3 separate regions of the Mus musculus genome follow, and all the other regions are reported to be linked to region 1. The links are microRNA targets in miRTarBase. Many come from high-throughput screens and were not tested one by one. Region 1 holds a microRNA gene; each other region holds the end of a gene's coding sequence. Distances are from middle to middle.

Region 1 (7,120 bases):
AAAGAAAAACATTTTTAAAATGAGGAAAATTTAAACCCATTTTAATTACTCCATCTACCAGATGCTACAGGGCGCAGCCAGAGTTTCCTTTCCAGGTGATACTGGACAGTCACCTTAGAGCGCTTGCTCTGTGACAACTACTGTGTAGTGCTTACTATACAGATTATGTTTAGCACGATGCTAAACATTTACATATTTTATCTCACAACACTCTAATAGGGATTATTACCATTACCTTGAATGTAGCAGGCGATCCAAAGATATTTGCATCCTTTATTCATTTCTTTTCCTTTTCCTTTTCCTTTTCCTCCTCCTCCTCCTCCTTCTTCTCCTCTTTTCTCTTCCTTCCTTCCTTTCTCTCTCTCTCTCTCTCTCTCTCTCTCTCTCTCTCTCTCTCTCTCTCTCTCTCTCTCTCTTTCATTTTGATAGGGTCTCATTTTATAGCCCTGGCTGGCCTCACACTCACAGAAACCCTCCTGCTGGGTCTAAGGGCAGTGGTACCACAGCCACAGGTGTTTGCATCCTTATCCCAGGGGAGCGTGATTATGTCATGTTACTTGTTATATGACATAGGAAATATAAGGTTGCAAATAAATATAAGTTTAAGGTTGACCTTAAAATAGAAAATATAAGGTTGCAAATAGATGTAAGTTTGATATTTGGTTGACCTTAAAATGTGGAGATTATCCACAATGTCCCTATCTGGGTTCAACATGATCTCCAGGGTAAAGGAACTGGAGTAGAGGAGTCGGTGTCAGAGGGCTGAGACATGGGGAAGAGTTGTCTCCATTGCCGGCCACACACTGAGGAAATGTGAGCAGCCTCTAACTGATTGGGATTCACTCCAGGAGTTCTTAGAAGGAAATAGAGTGAGTACTGCAGATATCTCCATGTACTGCAGATATCTCCATGTTAGCTCAATAATGGCTGCGAGCCCCGATGGTGGCTAACATGGTGATGTCAAGAGAATCTTGAGTTACGGGGGATGACTCTTAATTATCCAGGTGACCCGATCCCAGCATAAGCACAAAGTTCCTTCCTTTAAAGACTCAGGAGGGTCAGAGTGGGAGAAGAAACGATAAAAACAGAGATCAGAACTCTGTACCACCCAGCCTTGCAATGGATCCAAGAGGCATTCTGGAAAGATAAATAGGTGGGTTGTCCTTGGAGGGAGTGAGTCCTGACCCTTTTCTTACACAGCAAAACCCACTTTGGTCCTCTAGTACCAGTTCTTGTAAGATACAAAGTAGTGCTACTTCAAGCCTATACATTTGTGTGCTTTCAATAGGCCACAGAAGACCAACTTACTTAGTTTAGAGCCAATGTAGACCTAGCTGGTGATGAAGATGAGATTTCCCAGAGCCCATTTCCTGGGTCACTGGGACACACTCCTGCATAGATGGAGGTTCCCATGACATGCATATCCACAAGTGCAAACCTCTCCTTAGTCAGCACCACTATGACACATCTGCGCCCCAATGAATACAAAGCCACTAGTGTATTTTATGTGATAGGTTTCACGTTGCTAGGTTGTTTCCAGTGTTTGTTTCAATGGTACAAAACGCAAGCGATGGACTTCTTTTTAAGTAATAGTGTTTTTTTTTTTTTAAAGAGACACTCATAGAATGAGAGAAGCTGGATAAAAAAAGAGTGTACTGTGAAAAATAGCCAAAGCATCCTCCAAAAAGATTGCAATGAAACGTAATTTAAAACAAAGACAACTAGAATTGGAATGAGTTGCTTCTGCTTCTACAACGCTCTTGGTATTAATCCATTTTCATATCTAAGATCCACACTCAACATAATTATGCTCTTGTCTTTAGCTATATTATCCCTTTCTTCTGTAGAATCGTAGTTAGAGAGGGGATTCAGAAATCACCTCAAGCGACCTTTTACCTTCAAGTTACAGGTAGAAGCCGAGAGGCTGGTGAGAGTGAACAGATTTACCTGGGCTCATCTAGTGGGAATGCCTGGAGGACCCACATGCCCCACTCAGGTTCAGAGCCTACCTCCATCAGCTGCAGGGGTCACCAAGGTAGCCCCTAGGCAGATGCTTATTCATCTGTTCTCCCCTTTGAAATTACGCGAGAAATCTGCTGTCTTTTTAAACAGAGGCATATTGGGGGACAGAAGGATAATACGAGGCCAGATAGCCAATACTAAAAGATAAACTCTATGCTTGTCCAAGCAAGCCTATTTTCTTTTGCTCAGTGTGAAATGCGGCAAACCTATGGCTGAGAATAATTCCAGATCGCCTAGTGTTTTACATAAGAGTTCTCACATGAATGGATAACAGGGCATCTGCGATTGTCACCTTTTGTTTTTCCTAACTTGGTTCTGGTACACCTCATGAGCTTGGCCTCTGATGTCCACAAACGCGTAGGCCAACCCCCTCCCTGTCCACGAAGCAAACAATGAAATAGGAAAACGCATTGCCATTCTCTGACTGACCTCAATCGCTGAGGGTGGACCCGGCGCGTTACATCAGCTGGCTGGCTCCATTACACTGCCCTGCGCTGTGCTTGAGCTACTGAAATATTGATTTTTTTTTTAACAGAGCGGCGCGCACACACACTGAAAAAAAAAGAAAAATCAATATTCCAGCTCACACAACAGAACCTGCGGCAGAGCCCGGACCAACTCTGAGGCCCAGAGAGCACCGCTGACAGACCTTGGCAGAGCAGGGGGGTGGGAGGCTCTAGGAGACAATGCCTGGTGGAGCCCCCCACCCCCACACCCGGAAGGGTCAGATAAACACGCAAGTGTGCAAGTGGAAAGATCCCTAAGGATAAACAGTTGGAAGGAGCAAGGATTTATCTTTCCATAGGGGGATGGGGGAGAAGGGACGAGTAAATTAAGAAGACAGGAGGGGAAGAAGTTTCCAGGTAAGAATCTTCCCATGAAAATGTACCTTTCATTTTCCGTATCATCCAGCCACACTTAAGATGGAAAAAAGAAATGATACAGACGTTTTATCACAAAGAAAAACCAGGCCTGTTCTGAGAAATATCTGTGTTTTAAAAGATGCAGCTCGGTGGCCAGAGGCTGTGGTTTTCACCATAACCTGGGCTCTACCTGTACATTGACATTGCTGTCTTCTCTTTGGGGAGGGTGGAGGGAAGGAAGCCATCTAGTCATGTGGCCTCTCATCAATCCCTTTCTTCTACAAAGCACGCCTTCCTTCATGCCCTCCTCCATGCGTGCTTGGGGAACCACTGACAGATCGTGGATATGGACAATTCTGAGCACCTTGAGTTATACCTCCTTCGGATGCAGGAGACCTTGACTCCAGGTTCCACGCTCCACCCCCCCCCCACGCCCTCCACCCCCGTGCCTAATGTCCAGCAGGGGTCAGGACAGACAGACCGACCTTTGGGTTTGTCCCTGTAGGCGGTACAAAAGAAATTGCTATTTTTGATACTTTCAGGTAGCTGTTGGCCTTTTCTTACTTACAGTGGGCAATGGGCAGCTAATTCAAAAGGATGGCTTTTTAACTTTGATGAATTCTTGATTTAGCTTTGTTCTAGAATTCTCTTACCGAGAATTCCTCTCTCAGTTCTTGTAACACTCAGCCCCGGGGGAGGAGCCAAAGTGTCCTCCTCAAGGTTTCCATTTCTCACTCTGCTTAGGTGGCAGCCTCGTCTTCCCCAACCCAGCAGAGACCCAGACCCGAACTGGGCTCTGGCCTGGCCTAGCGGAAGGGGCTGCGGGCAAAGCTGTGTTCAGCGTCTTGCACACGGGCAGGATGGAGACCACGTCTACCCAGCCTGCCCACAAAGGGCTGAACCCAGAGGCCGGGTGGAGCCGGACTAGGAGCCAGGTGACCACCTGGAGTGCCGCACCCCGCCCGGCTCAGGCTCCGCCCCCACCCCGCCCCTCTGCCTGCCGGCTCCGCCCCCTTCCTCCTGGGGCCCCTTCGTCGTTTATTTGCATAAGGAGGCGGTTCCCCGCCCCGCCCAGCGCGCACGTGACCCTGAGGAGGCGGAGGGAACCTGCTGACTTGACACGAGCCGTTTTGCGGCTCCCCTTGGCGCGGAATAGCAAGAGCAGCCGTGACCTCCGACCCCGCCCGCCGGCAGCCAATAAGAGCGCAGGTCGTCTCCAAACCCAAAATTTCCACGTCGGCAAAAGTCAAGATGGAAGGGAGCGGAGCGGAGCGCCCACTGGAAGCCTAGCTCAGCGGCCCGGGGCGCAGAGGGCCGGGCTGCGGCGTGCGGGGGGCCTTTGGGAGGGCGGCCAGGCCAGACAGGCCGATGCAACCCCCGGCCGCAGCTTCGGAGCTCTGGCCCCGCGTTCTGTCGGCCACGCGCACCAACCGGGCAGGATGGGGACTGCGCTCTGCGGACCTGTTGCACGCGCGCAACAGCTGCTTGCGCGCAGTGTGTGGGGAGGCGTGCGGGACCCCGCACGGTGGTCCGGGCTGGATGGGCTAGGGGCGCCGGGCCTGTGTCGTGGACTGCATGCAGATCGGCTGCGGAGGCGCTGCCTCAGCAGGCAGAGGGAAACCGGGAGAGTGGGTGGGTGGCACCGAGGGGCCAGGGCTGCGTGGACGCGGATTCCCAGACTGTGCGCGGGCAGCTGGATAACCGGAGTAGTGTGGTGAGAATGGCTGGGGGAAGGGGAGGCCGCGAAAAGCCTGGCTTTCCCGGGACGTCCCATCTGCGGGGAAACTGGCTTGTGTTCGCCGGCTTTGACTCCCTGCTCCAGGAATTCGTTCTCATGAGGTCCTCCCCGCCCTCACCAACTTTCCAGATGGAAAGGTAAAAAGTTACCGCAACTTAGATTGAGTGAATTAGCTTCTTGCCAAAGTTTAGTAACAGGACCGGAGGAGGTGGGGGCTGGACCGGCAATGGATTCTTGTGTAGAGTAGGTAGGAAGGAGGGGGCATTGTGTGATTCCACTGGTCCGTTTGCTGTGACATTGCCACCAGAGTCTCTTAGGACACCCTTTCTACTGGATTTTTACTCCTGCTGACTGTGGCAGTAATTTTCCATAATTAACTATCCGTACCACTATTGGTCTCATCCTGGACTAAATTGCTTCTAATGAGTTATTCTTCTTTGCCTTCACTGGGGGCGAGGCGGGATGGCAGGGAGCACACCTGCAGGACGAAACTTCCAGAGGAAGACAGCCAGTTTGGTCTTTTGAGACAAAGTTCTGAGACACTCCGACTCTGAGTATGATAGAAGTCAGTGCACTACAGAACTTTGTCTCTAGAGGCTGTGGTCGCCGCCTCCCCGCAAGGGCCCTGGACGCCAAGCTGGTGGCCCTGTTGGCCACGTCGTTGCACCTTTCCTTTGGGGGAAGGGCAGCCCAGAGGGGGCACAAGGGCTTTGTGAAGAACCTGAAAAACTCCTTTAAAGTCAATGGGTTAGATCACATAAAGTAACTACCCCCCCCCATTTTTCTTCTTACCCTGGTGGACTGATTGCATATTTTTCAAGGTTATTTTTAAAATACTAAAATAGTCTGGCTTCACTTATTGAGCAAGGAGAGAAGGACCACAAGTTTATTGATGAGTGTGTTGGTATGTTCAAACTGTACCCTAAGAGAAGGAAATGCACTTGTGCCAAAGCCACAGGTAATGTGCCTTTTACTCAAATGCCCTGTTAGATAAATGAACCTGCAAGGATTGGGTTTGGATTTAGTTTCAGTTCTGAGTTTGATTTAGGCCCATCTCATTTTCCTTTTTTCTTTTCTTTTTTTTTTTTTGGGGGGGGGGTTGTTAATGGAAAGGAAGTACCTTTTCTAAGAAGGCATTTTGACAGTCATTTATGAGGTCAGTGTTTATACTTTGGAGCTGTGAGATACTGTACAGAGAAACTGCTCTCCTGGACCCTAATGGAATGTGGGTTGTGGCTGGCAGTTGCAGTTAATAGTGCGCTCTACAGTGGGCAGTGACTGGCATTGAACTGTATCCTGCTCCCGGGTCATTGCCCTATTTTGATGTTTATGGGTGTGGCTGGAGAGCGAATAGAGTCAAGGGATTACAAAACCGTCATTAACAAAGGCGCTAACCTGACACATGTATGTCAAGCTGTGACACCTAGTGATGAGCAAAAAGGAATGAAGCCTTCTTTGTTGCTTAGGGACAGCTCAGTCCTGGCAACGTTTGTAGAATGCTTCAGAAGCCCCGAGGTCTCCTGGAGTGTGACTCTGGGAAGTCTTGATCTAAAAAATGAAAATCCACCGCCTTTACTTCTGAGCACATTCCTATTGGAGTAGAGATAATGGGGAAGGGCCAATGGGAAAGTATTGGAGGAAGGACTTGCCAGTTGGCGGCACCTGTCTGGACCCCTAGCCAGGCGCTCTTCTGAGATTGTTAGCTACACCCAGTCTCCTTTCTTCCCACCAGTGACTGTTGAGCTTCATTGCTTCAACTCTCTGCCCAAAAGGTAGCTTAATCTTATTTTTGCAGTTGAATAAAGTGATCCAAATTCGGGTTCTTTTTGTTTTCATTTAAGATATAAGGTAAGCTTCCTGGTGAGGAGGGTTTCTTTCCTGATTTTTGTGAATGAATGTGTTCACAAAATACTATGAAACTACTAATTCTCACAATAGGCAGAACCAACTTTGTATGAGAATGCAGTGGCCCTTTGAGCAGATAAGGTGAAGTATCTGGGAGAGTAGCCATCCATGCAAAGGATTAGGTCAGGACTCTACCTTCAAGAAAGAGCCAGGTTTGGAATCCCTCACTTGGGTTCACCTGGTTTGACCTCATTATAAAAATGATTTGGTGAAAACTCTTGCTTTGGCCATGAGCGGGTTAAAGGGCCAGCCAGGAAGGAAGGCTTTGTGGCTTATCCTAGTGGTGTGCATGCTGGGAGTAGGGTCGAGGAAAACCAGCAGGCTGGGTGTGCTCTGAAGCTGGCATACTCCCACTGACTTTAGATATTGAGCAACCAGAGCCTTGTTACCAACTGAGCATCAGGTGTTAGATGCCAGGGTACAGCTGTGAGCAAAATCGGCTGACATCCGGTTCATTCTGGAGTCCATTCTCATGTTAGCGGTTGGCAATGCCACCATCATCAGGAAGGGTGTTAAGCATGACTGGGAAGAGGGAACAGCCTTTGGGGAAGGCTATGTGTTATTTTAACCCAGCTTGCTGAACCAGAGGGTA
Region 2 (7,098 bases), 74 Mb from region 1:
ATTCACACCCGCTCCCCATTTTTCCGGCTGGTTTGCTGCCCCTACTGAGGCGGACAGGCTAGAGTAATGGCAGGGAGTGTCCCTTGGGCGGCAAGTAGGAGACTGTGGGGCTGGGTGCCCTCGGCATGCCGAAGCTTCTCTCTGGGTAAGTGGCTTAAGTGTAGTAGGACGGCCGGCTAACGGCTTGTCACTGGGCAGTGCTGATTCATGCTTCTGTCCTTCCCTAGGCGTCCCACGGTTGGCCTTCGTAAGGCTCACTCTTCCACCTCCCAAAGTGGTTGATCGCTGGAACGAGAAGAGGGCTCTGTTTGGCGTCTACGACAACATTGGAATCCTGGGTAGGACGCGATTCCTGGTTTCTGAAGGATTAGTATGCTCTCTTGACTCTTTCGGTTTTATTTGTGGAGAGAATAGTAATGTGCCCGGGGCAAGCCTGGGGGCACAAACCTGTTACACGGGAGATGAAGCCAGGCAAGACCAGTCTGAGATGCGGAGAATAGTGAGGAGTGCGGGACTCAGTCTCACTAACACAGTAGTGGGCAGGTCTGAGGGCCAAAGCGAGTAAATGGGAGTGTCAGTATTTGAACCCAGACATTTCTGGCTGCAAAGTCTTTACTCCTTTCTTTCTTTCTTCTTTTTTAAATAAGATTTTTGTGTTTTCTGAATGTGTACCGTGTACTGCTCAAGCAATGCCTGCAGGTTCAGGGTGACTTCCTAGAACTTCCCTTTCAGGCAGTCGTGAACCTTCAGTTGAGAGTGCTGGGGAATCCTTTGGAAGAGCAAGTGTTACAAAGACTCTGTCCCTTGTACTAGACTGGTGTGTGCCTTGTCTGTCAGTAGTTCTGATCAGGGAGATGAAACTGTGTTGAAGGCCTAGTTGGGCTAGGCTGACTTCTCTTCTCTTGAAACTAGTATATATTCTGTCACGTTACAGGGAATTTCGAGAAGCACCCAAAAGAACTGATCAAGGGCCCAGTATGGCTTCGAGGCTGGAGAGGAAATGAATTGCAGCGTTGTGTCCGAAAGAAGAAATTTGTGGGAAACAGGATGTTCATTGAGGACCTGCATAACCTTAACAAACGGATCAGCTATCTCTACAAACACTTTAACCGACATGGGAAGTACAGATAGGACGGGAAATGTGTCACCCTGGAGAAGGGGAACAGGACTTATCCCAGCAAGGAGAGAGCTTTGTGTGCTCGATGTAATAAAAAAATGGGGCTCCTTTGGAATCTGATATGCCCAGTGCTACATTTACTCATGCACTCTGACGTCTGCCTCGTTCCTAAGTCACATGATCTTTTGTTACTATTACTTACAGCCCAGTTATGCTTGTGGCCTTTATAACAATCATTTATTGCTGGCACTTTCTGACACTGGCACCTCGTGTAAGTTTTTAAAGAATTTATTTTTATTTATTTTATCTTATTTTTTTGTAATCTTGGAGCTGAAACCCAGGGACTTGCTCATTCTAGGGAACTCTGCCACTAGCCGCCCAGGCCCTTGGAAGTGTAGCTGCTATTTCTAAAGACTCTGCCACCCCAAAATGAACTAGGAAAGTGAAATTACACTTTGTACTGCTCTTATCAGTTATAAGTTAGGGAACTTGTCTGAGTACCACAGCATTTCCCATCCTCTTGAATAGGGCAGTTTTGTGGAGGCTGACCTTGAGTCATGCCCAGTTTTATGAAGTGTTAAAGATCACACCCAGTATTACCCCTGTGTGTGCTACCCTGTTTGCTTTTTTTTTTTTTTTAGGGGAAAAAAATGTCATTTAAGAAAGATATTTTAGGGCTGGTGAGATGGCACTGACTGCTCTTCTGAAGGTCCTGAGTTCAAATCCCAGCAGCCACATGGTGGCTCACAACCACCCATAATGAGATCTGACGCCCTCTTCTGGTGCATCTGAAGTCAGTCACAGTGTACTTATTTTTAATAATAAAAAAGTCTTTGATCATTGGACCAGAGCAAGTGGAGTTGACCAGAGAGAGCAAGGTCAACTGAGGCAGCAGAGGTCCTAAATTCAATTCCCAACAACCACATGAAGCCTCACAACCATCTGTACAGCTACAGTGTACTCACATACATTAAATAAATCTTTTTTTAAAAAGAAAGATATTTTAATACAGGTTTGAGCATCAGGGCTATGAGAGAGGTGTTCAGAGGTAAAACACTTGAGAGCATGAGTGTGGGCTTCCCTGAGAGACTCTTCTATATGGCATAGTGCTGGCGTCTTGGATATACCAAGTACTTTATAGTGAGCTATAGACCCTCTGCTGCACTTTGCTTTTGTTAGTATATATTACAAAAATAATAGGTTTTGCTATGACATTCTTCATTTACTTCTTTTGGTTTTTTGAGATAGGGTTTTCTCTATGTAGCCTTGGCTATCCTGGAACTCAGTATGTAGACCAGGCTAGCCTTGAACTCATGGAGATAATACCTTAGTGTTGGATCTAAGGCTTAAGCCACCACATTTTCCACAGGTTTTTGAATTTATGTTTCAATTGAAATCAATTCAGTGAGAAGTCTGGAGATGACAGAAAGGTAATCCAGGGAATTTTTCTTGCATTTTTTTTTTTTTTTTAAACAGTCTTGGGGCTGGAGAGATGATTCCAGCCATCTCCCAGGGATGCTCTTGCAGGTTGCCCAGGTTAATTCCCAGCTCACACATGGTGACTCAAGGCTGACTATACTTCCAGTTTCTGGGCTTCCCATGGAGACAGGCATGCACATGTGCACAGGCATAGCTGCATGTATTATTGCATGTAAAACATGAAATAATAATAATAAGCCGGGCGGTGGTGGTGCACACCTTTAATCCCAGCACTCAGGAGGCAGAAGCAGGTGGATTTCTGAGTTCGGCTATACAGAGAAATCCTGTCTCGAAAAAACAAAACAAACATAAAAACAAAAACAAACAAACAAACACCAAAAACCTATAGTCTCTCAAAGTCAGGCTCAGGCTGGCCTGGAACTCTTATAGCTCAAACTGGGACCCATCCTCCTGCCTCTACCTCCAGAGTGACAAGATTATATGTGTGAGTCCTTGTATCCAGCTTCAAACTACTGTTTAATCCTCATATTTAGTGGCCATGTCCAAGGCTATATAATACCTACTTCTTTTTATAAAAAAGTATTGCCGGGCGGTGGTGACGCACGCCTTTAAAACCAGCACTTGGGAGACAGAGGCAGGAGGATTTCTGAGTTTGAGGCCAGCCTGGTCTACAGAGTGAGTTCCAGGACAGCCAGAGCTACACAGAGAAACCCTGTCTTGAAAAAAACAAAACAAAACAAAAAAGTATTACAGAGACACACAGGCAAACAAAGCAGAGCTTGGGGATTCTCTTGGAAGAGTGGGGGGAGGGACTGTAGGAGCCAGAGGGGTCAAGGACATCACAAGAAAACCCACAGAATCAACTAACCTGAGCCCTTAGGAGCTCACAGAAACTGAACTGCCCACCAGGGAGCTTGCATGGGACTGAGCTAGGCCCTCCACACATTGTGGTTGGGAGGAGTCCTAACAGCAGGAGTAGGAGCTCTGATTATCCCCTGCTTCTGCTGCCTGCCTTTAGGACCCTTTCCCCACAACCGGCTGCCTTGCCCAGCCCTAATAGAAGAGGTGCCTTGTCTTACTGTACTTGATATGCCATGGCTGGTTGATAGCCACTGAGGCCTGACCTGGGGAGAACAGGGGAGTGGGGATCTGGGTGTGGGGAGGAAAAGTGGCAGGGAGAGACTATGGAGGGAGGGAAGCTGTGGTTGAGAGGGAAGCTGTGGTTGGGATGTAGAATAAAATTTAAAAATGTTAAAAGTATTGCAAATCCAAGAAAATGAATTGCTTGTAGACTCAAGTGAGCTCTGAAGGTAGAAAAATTAGGGTGGTTATCCTATTTGATTTAAATCTAAGTTCTGTGTCAATGATCTTTTATGACGTAACAGTCCATTCTTAAACTCAATGACTAAAACAACTTCAAATCATTTTCTCTGGGTTTTCTTCTTCAGATGGTTAATCTAGTTTGCTGTCACGAGGCCATATTCAGCAGTGGGCTAACACGCCTGAGACATCTTCACTCACATCTACTTAGTCAATTGGTAGTTTGGGTTGTTTTTGTTTTTTTGAGAACCAAATCAGGGCCACTGCAAGAACAGCAAGTGCTTGTAACCTCTGAGCCATCTCTCCACAGCCCCAGCTAAGTTCTTTTGGCACAAGGTCTTATTATTCAGCCTCTCTTGGGCTTGGTTGCTTAGAGACTTGATCCCAAAGGACAAAATTTAAATAACAAGGGTTGATAAAACGAGGCTAAGAAGTCTTGAGGTCTTCAGGCATGGAGGCAAAAACCTTTGAACCCAGGACTGATCCCTGGAGACAGAGGCAGGCCTGGTCTACATATCAAGTTCCAGGCTTGGCTACACAGTGAAATCCCATCTTTAAAAAAAAAAAAAAGAAAAGAAAAAACAAAAAAGCCATGAAGCGCGGTGGTCACCCCTTTAATCCCAGCACTTGGGTAGCAGAGGCAGGTGTTTCTCTATAAGCTCAAGGTCAGCTTAGTCTACAGAACAAGTTTCAGCACAGCCAAGGCTACACACACACACACACACACACACACACACACACACACACACACACACACAAACCCTGTCTTGAGAAACCAAAGAGGAGGGGGAAAGGTAGAAAAGGAAGAGGAAAATGTTTTAATACAATCTCACAAGTGTTAGTGAAGAAGGAACTAACAAGTCAGCCCCAGAAGCCCGTATAAAATTCTTCCTGCTGTCAGTTACAAAAAGTCTTATTTTTCAAGCACAGAGCTGGATTGTTTTTGTAATGAAAAAGAATGCAACATTTCCCTTCAACAAACACTGAATCATTGTGTGGAAGGACCTTGGAGGCATATACACCACAAACCAAGGCTACACCACTGCCTGTAAAAAGATTTCATCCGTCAGGTACAGGGTGCGTATGTAAACAAGATGCATATCTGAATTCGGTAATTGCGTGGGAAAAATATTGTTGCAGCATGAGTTTTTGTTTTTAGGTTTATCCATTTACTGTGTACACAGTGTTCTGCCTACACGTAGGCCTGCACACCAGAAGAGAGCACCAGATCTCATTATAGATGATTATGAGTCACCATGTGGCTCCTGGTAATTGAATTTAGGATCTCTGGTAGAGCAGCTCTTAACCACTGAGCCAGCTTTCCAGTCCCACATGAGGTTTTTGTTTTTGTTTTGTTTGTTTGTTTTTAAAAGGGGGTGAGAAAATTGTGTGTGCACATGCATGCACGTGTGTGTGTGTGTGTGTGTGTGTGTGTGTGTGTGTGTGTGTGTGTGTGTGTGTGTGACTGTGGATTGAAGTGCTTGAAGTAGGTCTTGGAAAGGGTCAGTGCTAGGAATTCAATGGGAAATGACTATATAGACACAGGCAGGAAGGAGTCCCTAACCAACCCCAGGGGAGCAGGTAGAGGGCAGGGAAGGCTTCCTGTAGGTGATCAGATCACCACTAATTTATCCTAAAGGAATGTTAAAAGTGGGGAGGGGGTGCAGAGGGAGGTAACAATTTTTTTTTTTTCAGGCAAATGATGCAGAGCAAAATGGCACAGATGTGAGAAATAGCATGGAGCCAGCACACAGCAAGGCTACAAGTAGTATTTGTTAGTGGAACTACTTTGTGTGCCTAAAGATAAGCTGAGAAGTTAAGAGTCAGAGCACGAGGAAACCTACATTTAGTAAAATGATCTAGCCACTTTGGGAAATCCACAGCTGCCCAAAAAGCTAAACACAGAGTTACGTATGGATCGGTAATGTCACTCAGAGGTGTCACCCAAGAGAATGGAAGCGTGTCTGTTCCACAAGAGCAGAAAGGGCCATGCTAGTGCAGGCCATTATGGTGGCCACAAGAGGAACCCAACCAAACCAATGCCTACCTGCTAGCAGAGCCCCGTGGGCCAGGTGCCTAGGAGGTAGAGCAGGAGGATCAGGAGTTCCAGGCCTTCTTCAGATACATAGTGAGTCTGAAGGACGCCTGAGTTTGGTCCCTGGAACTAATTAATCCCTCATGGAAGAAGGAGAGAACCAACTCTTGCAAACTGATCTCATTTCCATATGTGCATGCCTGCCCCCCAAATAAATTAATGTTTTAAAAGGACAAATGTCCAGCAATTGATTTAAAAAAAAAAGTAACCAAGATTTTGAACAGTTGTACAGTGAATTATTATTCAATTACTAAAGGAATGAAGTACCCATACATGCCACATTCAGATGAATATTTAAAACATGTTAGATGGGCAGGCAGTGGTGGTGCATGCCTTTAATCCCAGCACTTGGGAGGCAGAGGCAGGTGGATCTCTGAATTCAAGGCCAGCCTGGTCTACAGAGTGAGTTCCAGGACAGCCAGGAACACACAGCTACACAGAGCCTGTCTTGAAAACAAAAAGCAAAAAACAAAAACAAACAAACACCATGTTAGATCAAAGAATCAGTCATAAAGTGCCAAATCCTATATGATTCTGTCTCACTGAAATGTGGGGAATAGACATGTCTACAGAAGCAGACCTGGTTTAGTTGCTGCTCCTTGGGTGGAATAAGGGCTGGGGAGTGGCTTTAGCCCATACCGGGTTCTCTGGGGATTGTGTGGAGACACGATGGACGTGGTAAATGCTAGTCAGAGAGCACAGGGTTTCCGAACAGCCGGAAATCAGTTAATAGAAACAGATTATAACACTGGTGTAGCAGAAATTTATCTGGCATGAATTCCCGAGTGATAACATATAGGCTTTTGTAAATAAATAGTCAGTGCTTGTTATCTGAGGTGTTCTGAGTGGTCCTTCCAGAGGATGCACAGAGCCTTTGCATAACTTAGTCCTGAGACATACTTGGCAAACTAGGAAGCCTTGTTTGGCTGAGAATTGCTTAGGTAATGGTTCCTTCAGACAGCTCCTAGGTCAGAGGGGGTTTTGATATTCAGAAATTGGCTTGGTAATAGTTCCTTTTGTGTAGGAATAAAGAGGCTTCTGCAGTGATTAGGAATTCAGCCCATCAGAGGCTGAAGAAGCCATAATAAATCCTGTAGTTGATCCTCATAGCCACATTACTCAAAAC
Region 3 (7,098 bases), not on the chromosome of region 1:
CAGGCTGCTGTTTGATGCTTTCAAGGTTTGATCTCTAAAACATCATGTAGAGAATTCCAACCTTCATTGTAGGGGTTTGGGAGTAGTTCCAATAACTTGTGAGCATTATTGAAGTCCTCTTGATTGTGTTTTCATACGTGTTTTGTTTTCAGCCAGGGCGGCAACCAGTGGAGGTTTCCAGAAACTTGAGAACTTAGATATTTCCATGAATCACAAGATTACCGAGGAAGGATATAGAAATTTCTTTCAAGCCCTGGACAACTTGCCAAACCTACAAGAGCTGAACATCTGCAGGAATATCCCAGGACGCATTCAAGTTCAGGCCACCACTGTCAAGGCTCTGGGTCAATGTGTGTCCCGACTGCCCAGCCTCATCAGACTGCACATGCTCAGTTGGCTCCTGGATGAAGAGGACATGAAAGTGATTAATGATGTGAAGGAAAGACATCCCCAGTCTAAACGCTTGATTATCTTCTGGAAATTGATAGTCCCATTCTCTCCTGTTATCCTGGAGTAAAGGATGCTCCTGAAGACTACTGACAGTTCAGAATATCTAAAACTCCTAAAATTCTAGCTGAGGTCAGAAAAGTATGTTGGGCCCTCCTGGGTCTGGAGTTATAGATAGTTAAGAGTCTCCATTTGGGTGCTGGTCACCAAACCTTTATCCTCAGTAAAAGCTACAGGTGCTCTTAAACCCTGATCCATCTATCCGAAGGCTGATAATTTTTTTTGAAAATCTACATGCTCATCACTGAGCTACAATGAACAGTGCCTTTTTAGTCCTTGTATATTTCTCCTGTCTAAAGACTAGAGTTTCCTTCAAGTTCATACAAGGAACCTTCCAATACCAAGGTCAACAGGAAAGGGCTGGTGAAAGGAACATTGATCTATGTAAAGCCAAGACATCATAGGAGCACTGGGTGGAGGATATACATGGTCTGTTTATAGATTGAATCAGCCTTGTACATGAGGAAGCATGTGTTGACTTTATCATGGCTGCAGCTGACTCTCTCTCCAGGAGATGCTCTTTAGTCTTTGCAGCACTTTTGCGTATTCATTAGCCTTGATGTGGTTGTGCATCTATTGCCAATGGGTGGGGGGATATTGGGCTTAGAGAAAACTGCTTTTGTTTATGAGAGTTTTTGATAATTTTGCATGTACTGTAATGGCCTTGTGATTTTCTTAGAAACTCATGGTCAGGCTGGAGAGATGGCTCAGTGGTTAAGAGCACTGACTGCTCTTCTGAAGGTCCTGAGTTCAAATCCCAGCAACCACACGGTGGCTCACAACCATCTGTAATGAGATCTGATGCCCTGTTCTGGGGTGTCTAAAGATGGCTACAGTGTACTTACATAGAATAAAGAAATAAAATCTTAAAAAAGAAAGAAATTCATGGTCTTTGGTATATATGGTTCTAACTATTAAGGACTTCTTGTTTGAATAGGAATGGCCACCATAGTCTCAAATGTGTGGATGGTTGGTCATTTGGGAGTGATGTTCTTAGGAGGTATGGCCTTGTTGGAGTAGCTATTAACTTGTTGGAGATCTTGTGTCCCTGGTAGTAGGCTTTGAATTTCAAGTGCTCAGGCCAGGCCCAGTCTCTCTCTCTCTCTCTCTCTCTCTCTCTCTCTCTCTCTCTCTCTCTCTCTCTCCTCCCTCCCTCCCTCCCTCCCTCCCTCCCTCCCTCCATGCTGCCTTCCTTCCAATCCAGATGTAGAACTCTCAGCTACCTGCCAAGTACCATGACTACCTGCATGCAGGCATATTCTCTACCACAGTAATAATGAACTAAACTTCTGAAGCTGTAAGCCAGCCCTGGTTAAATGTGCTCTTGTATAAGAGTCATCATGGTCACAGTGTCTCTTCACAGCAATAAAATACTGACTGACACAATTAATTTACTTAATTATGATAGTAATTTATTACATAATACTATATATTGAAACATCACTTTGCACCTGCCTGGCATACCTCAAATATGCATGCTTTTTTATTATTTGCTAATTATGCCTCCATTAATCTGAGTGAAAATAGTTCTGAAAATAAGTTTTTAACTTAAAAAAAAAAGAAGAAAGCATTGGTTGTGTGTAGGAAGTTATATGGGAGGCATTCTTACTTTTCATTCCTTCTGGACTATTTTTGTTTTGTCTGTATAGTTCCTGAGCCATGAGTCACAAAAGCCATCAAAGAGGTGGCAGGTCCTTCCTTCCCGCACCAGCCTATGACCCTCTCAGTAAAATGTTCCATAGGGGCTGTCCAAAATGGCAGCTCCTGTCGAAATGGTGTCAACCATAAGATCTCAGCGTGCACCACAGCATCTCAAGCCTACAGATGCCATGGAGCTGTCCATGGTGACACATCTTTCCCTCCTCGGCAGGAGCTACTCTTTGGGAGCTGTCCGCGGTAGCGACATCTTCTTTCCTGCCTTAGCCTACAACCTTGGTGAAGCACCACTGCAGGAACTGTGTACAGTGGCAGACCCTCCTCTCCAGTCTCCTCAGAAATCCTATATAAGCACTGCCCCTTTGTCCATTCCCTGTCTGTCCACTCCCGGGAGCAGAGAGCAGCCATCCCTAGTTTTGTCCCTCACACTCCTGTATTATTACTGTCAATAAATATCTTTTATAAGATGCACTGCCTGGAGCAACTTTCTCGTTGGAAGAAGCTGAGAAGAGAACAAGCAAAGAAGAGAAAAAGTAGAGAAGAAGTGAAGAAGGAGCAGAGATCAGACTCTTGAGCTCCTCAGCTCAGTAGGAGATACCCTCCCTTGGGAGCGCTAATGCCTCTGCTGAGAAGGCTTCCTCGGAGCTCTGTAGTTCCGAGTTCTGATGTCTCAGGATACCCTTCCCATGGGTCACTGTCCCACACTGTCGTCCTTCAGGAGCCATGTGGTTCCTAGGCTTCTAAACCCCAGGATAACCTTCCATCCGAGCAGAAACACCTAAAGTTGGTGTTATTGCTATTCTTGATATCAAAATTCTAGCTTGTGGTGTAGCTTAAAGATAATGTGCCTGCTTAGTATTTTCAAGGTCCTCAGTGACATCTCTAGCACTGGGGGAAAAAAGTTTAACACTAAAGCATTAACTTAAGCTATCTCTATTGAGAAGGATTGATTATCTTTTTGATGATTTGATGTGTTAATATTTTTCAGAGTCCACTGAAAAGACAGAAACCATGAAGATATTTACCACAGGGAAATTTGGGGAAAGTAGAATGCAGTCATTAGCTCTAACAAAGGAACTTGCCAGCCTGGGTAATCAGGATACTCTTCCCATGGGATACTGTCCGACCTCAGAGCTGTGTGGTTCCTAGGTTCTCAAGTCCAAGATTACCCTTCTATCATACACCCTTACCAAGTAAGTACCCACTAAGTTCAAGGCTAGCCTGGGCAGTCTAAAGAGATTGCCTCAAAATAAAATTGAGGAAGACTTGGGGAGGCTGCTTAGTGGTCTAGTGTGTGGAAGGTCCTAGGTTTGGTCCCTAGCACTGAAAAAGAAAAAAGGGAAACATTTTAATGAGGTTCAGTGGTCTTGGTCCATTTCCTGTCATATCAGATGGAAAGAATAGATTTGTAGAGCCCAGTCCCAATGAATACATCTACCCAACAACTCCTGGACCTAAGTTTCAGGAGACAGTGCAGAAAAGGCTGGGGAGAGACTGTAAGAGCCAGAAGATGAGGAAGTTTGCTCTGAGACTGTGTTTTCTGGTAATTTCTATACTCATAAAGTCTAAACAACATGGCTGCCCTAGTCTGAGCTTAATGAAAATGACAGCAGTGACTATGCCAAACTGAACGGGGAAAGCCCAGGAGGCTCCAACCCTAGGAAAAGAACTACAGGCAACTAGGGGTTACTGAGATTGGGGGAAACAGTTTTCCCCACCGAAGAGCACACAGGTTGGTCATCCAATACCAAATGGTCAGCCCTGAAAATGTTGACCAGTATTGTGTCCCACTCGACCAGCAAGAAAGACGCAACAAACCAGAATCTTCCGCGGCAAAAGCTTTTTTGCTTACTTCTTCAGGAAGACCCCTAACCGGGAAAATGGCGCCGCTTTTATAGCCCGCAGCGTGAAGTTTCAGCACCTGCTATGGCGTGACAGCTCCTGATTCGTTGTTCGCCCATCACCCCACTATTACACTCCGAGAATGGGAGTGACTAGGAGTGAGTTCACTCTCGCACCTGCGTACAAGGCTTGTTTACTAGTTAGGCACAGCGGAGGCCAGCGCCATCTTATAATGGCGATTGCTCACGGCACGGCTCTCCACAGACCAGAGAACACATATAGACCCTCTTAAAACTGAGAAGAAAGTCTTTATCACCAGCCAGTGGCTGCATGGGGACCTTGCCCAGATCATGCAGCCCCAGTCCTCACTGCCCTTTGTCTTTTAAACACAAGCCCCACATCCTGGATGACAGGTTAGTTAGCAGGAACAGTTAACAGTAGCAGAACTATAGAAGCCAAGTTAGCACATTTAGAGATTCTTGGATCCAGGAACTATGGGCCAGGTCTTGATTGATTGATTGGGGTTTTTTTTTCCTCTTTTGGCAGATGTTTGGGTTATAAGGTGTGAATGGTGCCTCCAACATGTCATTTGTTAGGCTAGGGTCCAGGACGCATTACAAAAACATATGGATAAGTAACATTTTACAGAAGTAGAAGATTGCATTTAGAAATATACGTATATAAATATATGTATACTGTATGTATAATGTATATAAACATACATATATGTGTACAACATATGTATAATATATGTAATGTATGTGTGCTTAATGTATATGTGTATGGTGTATATAATGTATGTAACAATATATGTATAATGTATGTAAATATACATATATGTAAGTAACAACAATGCAAAAAGAAGCCATGAATTTGAGAGAAAACAAGGAAAGATGGAAATTTTTATATGCGAAGTTTTAGAGGGAGGAAAGAGCAGGGAGAAATGCTGTAATTATATCATAATCTCAAAAATGAAGGGAAAAAAATTAAACAAAGAACTAGTTAAATTCTAGACTCCCCTTTCTGAGCACATCCTAAGTATACCGGTCTACTCCTGCTTCCTAAATCCGTTCACCATGCCCACATAAGCAAAATCACCTCTAATTTCAACTGCCTTTCTGAAAGTCTCTGCACATCCTTAGAAGATTTAACTCACTTCCAAGCTCTTTTTTTAAATTTATTTTTTATTTTTTGTAAACTGTGGTGGTTTGAGTGAGAATGGCCCTCATAGACTTATATTTGAATGCTTATGAAGTGGCATTAGGAGGTGTGGCCATGTCGGAGGAAATGTGTCCCTGGGTATGGGCTTTGAGGTTTCAGAAGCTAGGTTCAACATCTCACTCTCTTCCTGCAGCTTACAGATCCAGATGTAGAACTCTCAGCTACGTCTCCAGCACCATGTCTGCCTGCGTGCCTTTATGCTTACCGCCATGACAATAATGGACTAAACTGTAACCTCGAGGTTGTCCACCTGCTCCCCAGTTCCTGAATTAACCACTCTGAAACTTAAGTACATATGAATAAATGCTTGTTCCCCTACTAGCCCATAACTGAATTAACCCATTTATTCTATTCTATAAATGCTGCACGGCTGGTTACCTCTCCTGTTTCATGTGTCTGTGTCCTTAGAGTTTGGGGAGAATCTCCCTTGACTGACCCTATCCCAGAGATCCTCTTTCTTTACCAGGACTCCACCTCCTTTTACCTGCCTTAGCTAATAGGCCTTCTGCTCTTTATTAACAGTTGATACTTCCATACTGTACATAATATATTATCTTTACATTTTCTCCTTTTAGTCCAATAAAAGACTCTTTATCTTACAATAATAAGCTATAAACAATAATAACAATTGTGAGAACCACCAGGTAAGATTACATTCATAATCTCCAGTTCATATGGGTTTGGCAACCTTGGAGGAAGTATTCTGCTACCTATCCTATCTTGGCAAATTCAGAATTCTGTCCCTAAATAAATTTCTATCATAAGAAATTGGTTGCATTACCAACCTAAGAACATCTTGGACCTTAGACCTTAATCCTGCACAACTTAAGCTTAAGTGTAAGACTGTCACTATTTCATTCTCAGCCTCACCACAGACCTGAGAAGGAAGAAATATTGCCTGAATATGCAGGAAGTGCAGGCAAGCACCTTTAAAACTATAAAAATGACATATAAAATGTCCAGAAAGCTGGGTGTCTAGACAGTCACCCACAAAGTTCTCTGAGTCATTGGAATATCTTCTTGGGCCTTCTGGCCCAGAATACCTGACAGACTTTTCTGTGAAGCAGGAATTATGAAGGACTTGCCTGCCTTGTCCTTGCAAAACTCAGCAGCCAACTTCTCTGCTCGTCGCTGGCCTCCAGGAAGCACCCGCTCCTCGGGTATCAACCACTCCAGCTTTCCTCAGAGAGCGCCAGCTGAATCCTCCGTTGTTTCTCCTCTCTAACTCCTGGGGAGATCTGAGGTCTCCTGGCTTTGTCTCTGTGTATGCACACTTCATGGACCACCTCATCCAGCTGACTGGCTTTAAATTCTCAGTCTCTACCTCACCATTTCCAACTCTAACTAAGACATAGGCCCTGAACTACTCAATTCATATCCAATTCTTCCTAATGGAAATTTCCATTTTAAAATCTTGATTGTTATTTTTTTTCCACATAAGTATTTTTGTGCTGAAGATGTTGGTCAGTGGTTATGGTGTTTTGAATAACAGTGTTTCCCCCTAAGCTCATGTGTTTAATTATTTGGTCTCCAGTTGGTCATGCTCCTCGTGGAAGCTTAGGAGGTGTGATCTAGGAAGGGCTTTGAGAGTGTAAGACCTATCCCTGTTCACAATTTGCTCTCTGTGCTTCAACTCTGGTTCAAGATGTGTATCTTCAGCTTCACACTCCTGCCATGCCTGCTGCATGTCTCCCCACCATGATGGACTCTTAGCCTTCTGGGACATATGCCCAAATAACCCCCTTTCTTCCATAAAGAAAGGCTCTGGTGATTTGAGTGGAAAATATCTCCCATGGGCTCATGTGTTTGCATGTTTGGTCTACAGTTGGTGGATTCGAAGATGTAGCCTTTTTGGAGGGGGTGTATGGCTTG

Evidence for each region. The annotated mature microRNA mmu-miR-148a-3p reads UCAGUGCACUACAGAACUUUGU and lies in region 1 at 5,190-5,211, shown strand. An mRNA with a match to its seed (bases 2 to 7 or 8) in the 3' UTR can be bound and repressed. Matches are read on the target gene's strand: a 7mer-m8 pairs with bases 2 to 8, a 7mer-A1 pairs with bases 2 to 7 and ends in A, and an 8mer does both.
Region 2: the mRNA of Mrpl51 is a reported target of mmu-miR-148a-3p. Seed matches in the 3' UTR shown: 7mer-A1 at 1,806-1,812.
Region 3: the mRNA of Naip5 is a reported target of mmu-miR-148a-3p. Seed matches in the 3' UTR shown: 7mer-A1 at 1,228-1,234.

The regions. Positions count from the first base shown.
Region 1 is chr6:51,267,920-51,275,039 of GRCm38, reverse strand. Mir148a (microRNA 148a) reads left to right here and starts at 5,130; the gene lies at 5,130-5,228. It overlaps Gm38821, which reads left to right. Exons shown (of 4, transcript XM_011241556.1): 2 at 3,630-3,833; 3 at 4,088-4,760.
Region 2 is chr6:125,192,289-125,199,386 of GRCm38, forward strand. Mrpl51 (mitochondrial ribosomal protein L51) reads left to right here. Exons shown (of 3, transcript NM_025595.3): 1 at 1-145; 2 at 228-338; 3 at 935-2,104. The coding sequence starts at 67. The coding sequence ends at 1,131. Mir3098 (microRNA 3098) reads left to right here and starts at 3,504; the gene lies at 3,504-3,590. It overlaps Gm52878 (a long non-coding RNA gene), which reads left to right and starts at 4,446. Exons shown (of 2, transcript XR_003956366.1): 1 at 4,446-4,954; 2 at 5,573-7,098.
Region 3 is chr13:100,206,026-100,213,123 of GRCm38, reverse strand. Naip5 (NLR family, apoptosis inhibitory protein 5) reads left to right here. Exons shown (of 15, transcript NM_010870.2): 15 at 153-1,385. The coding sequence ends at 517. Among named protein-coding and RNA genes, the nearest start is that of Naip2, 7.5 kb to the right of the region's middle.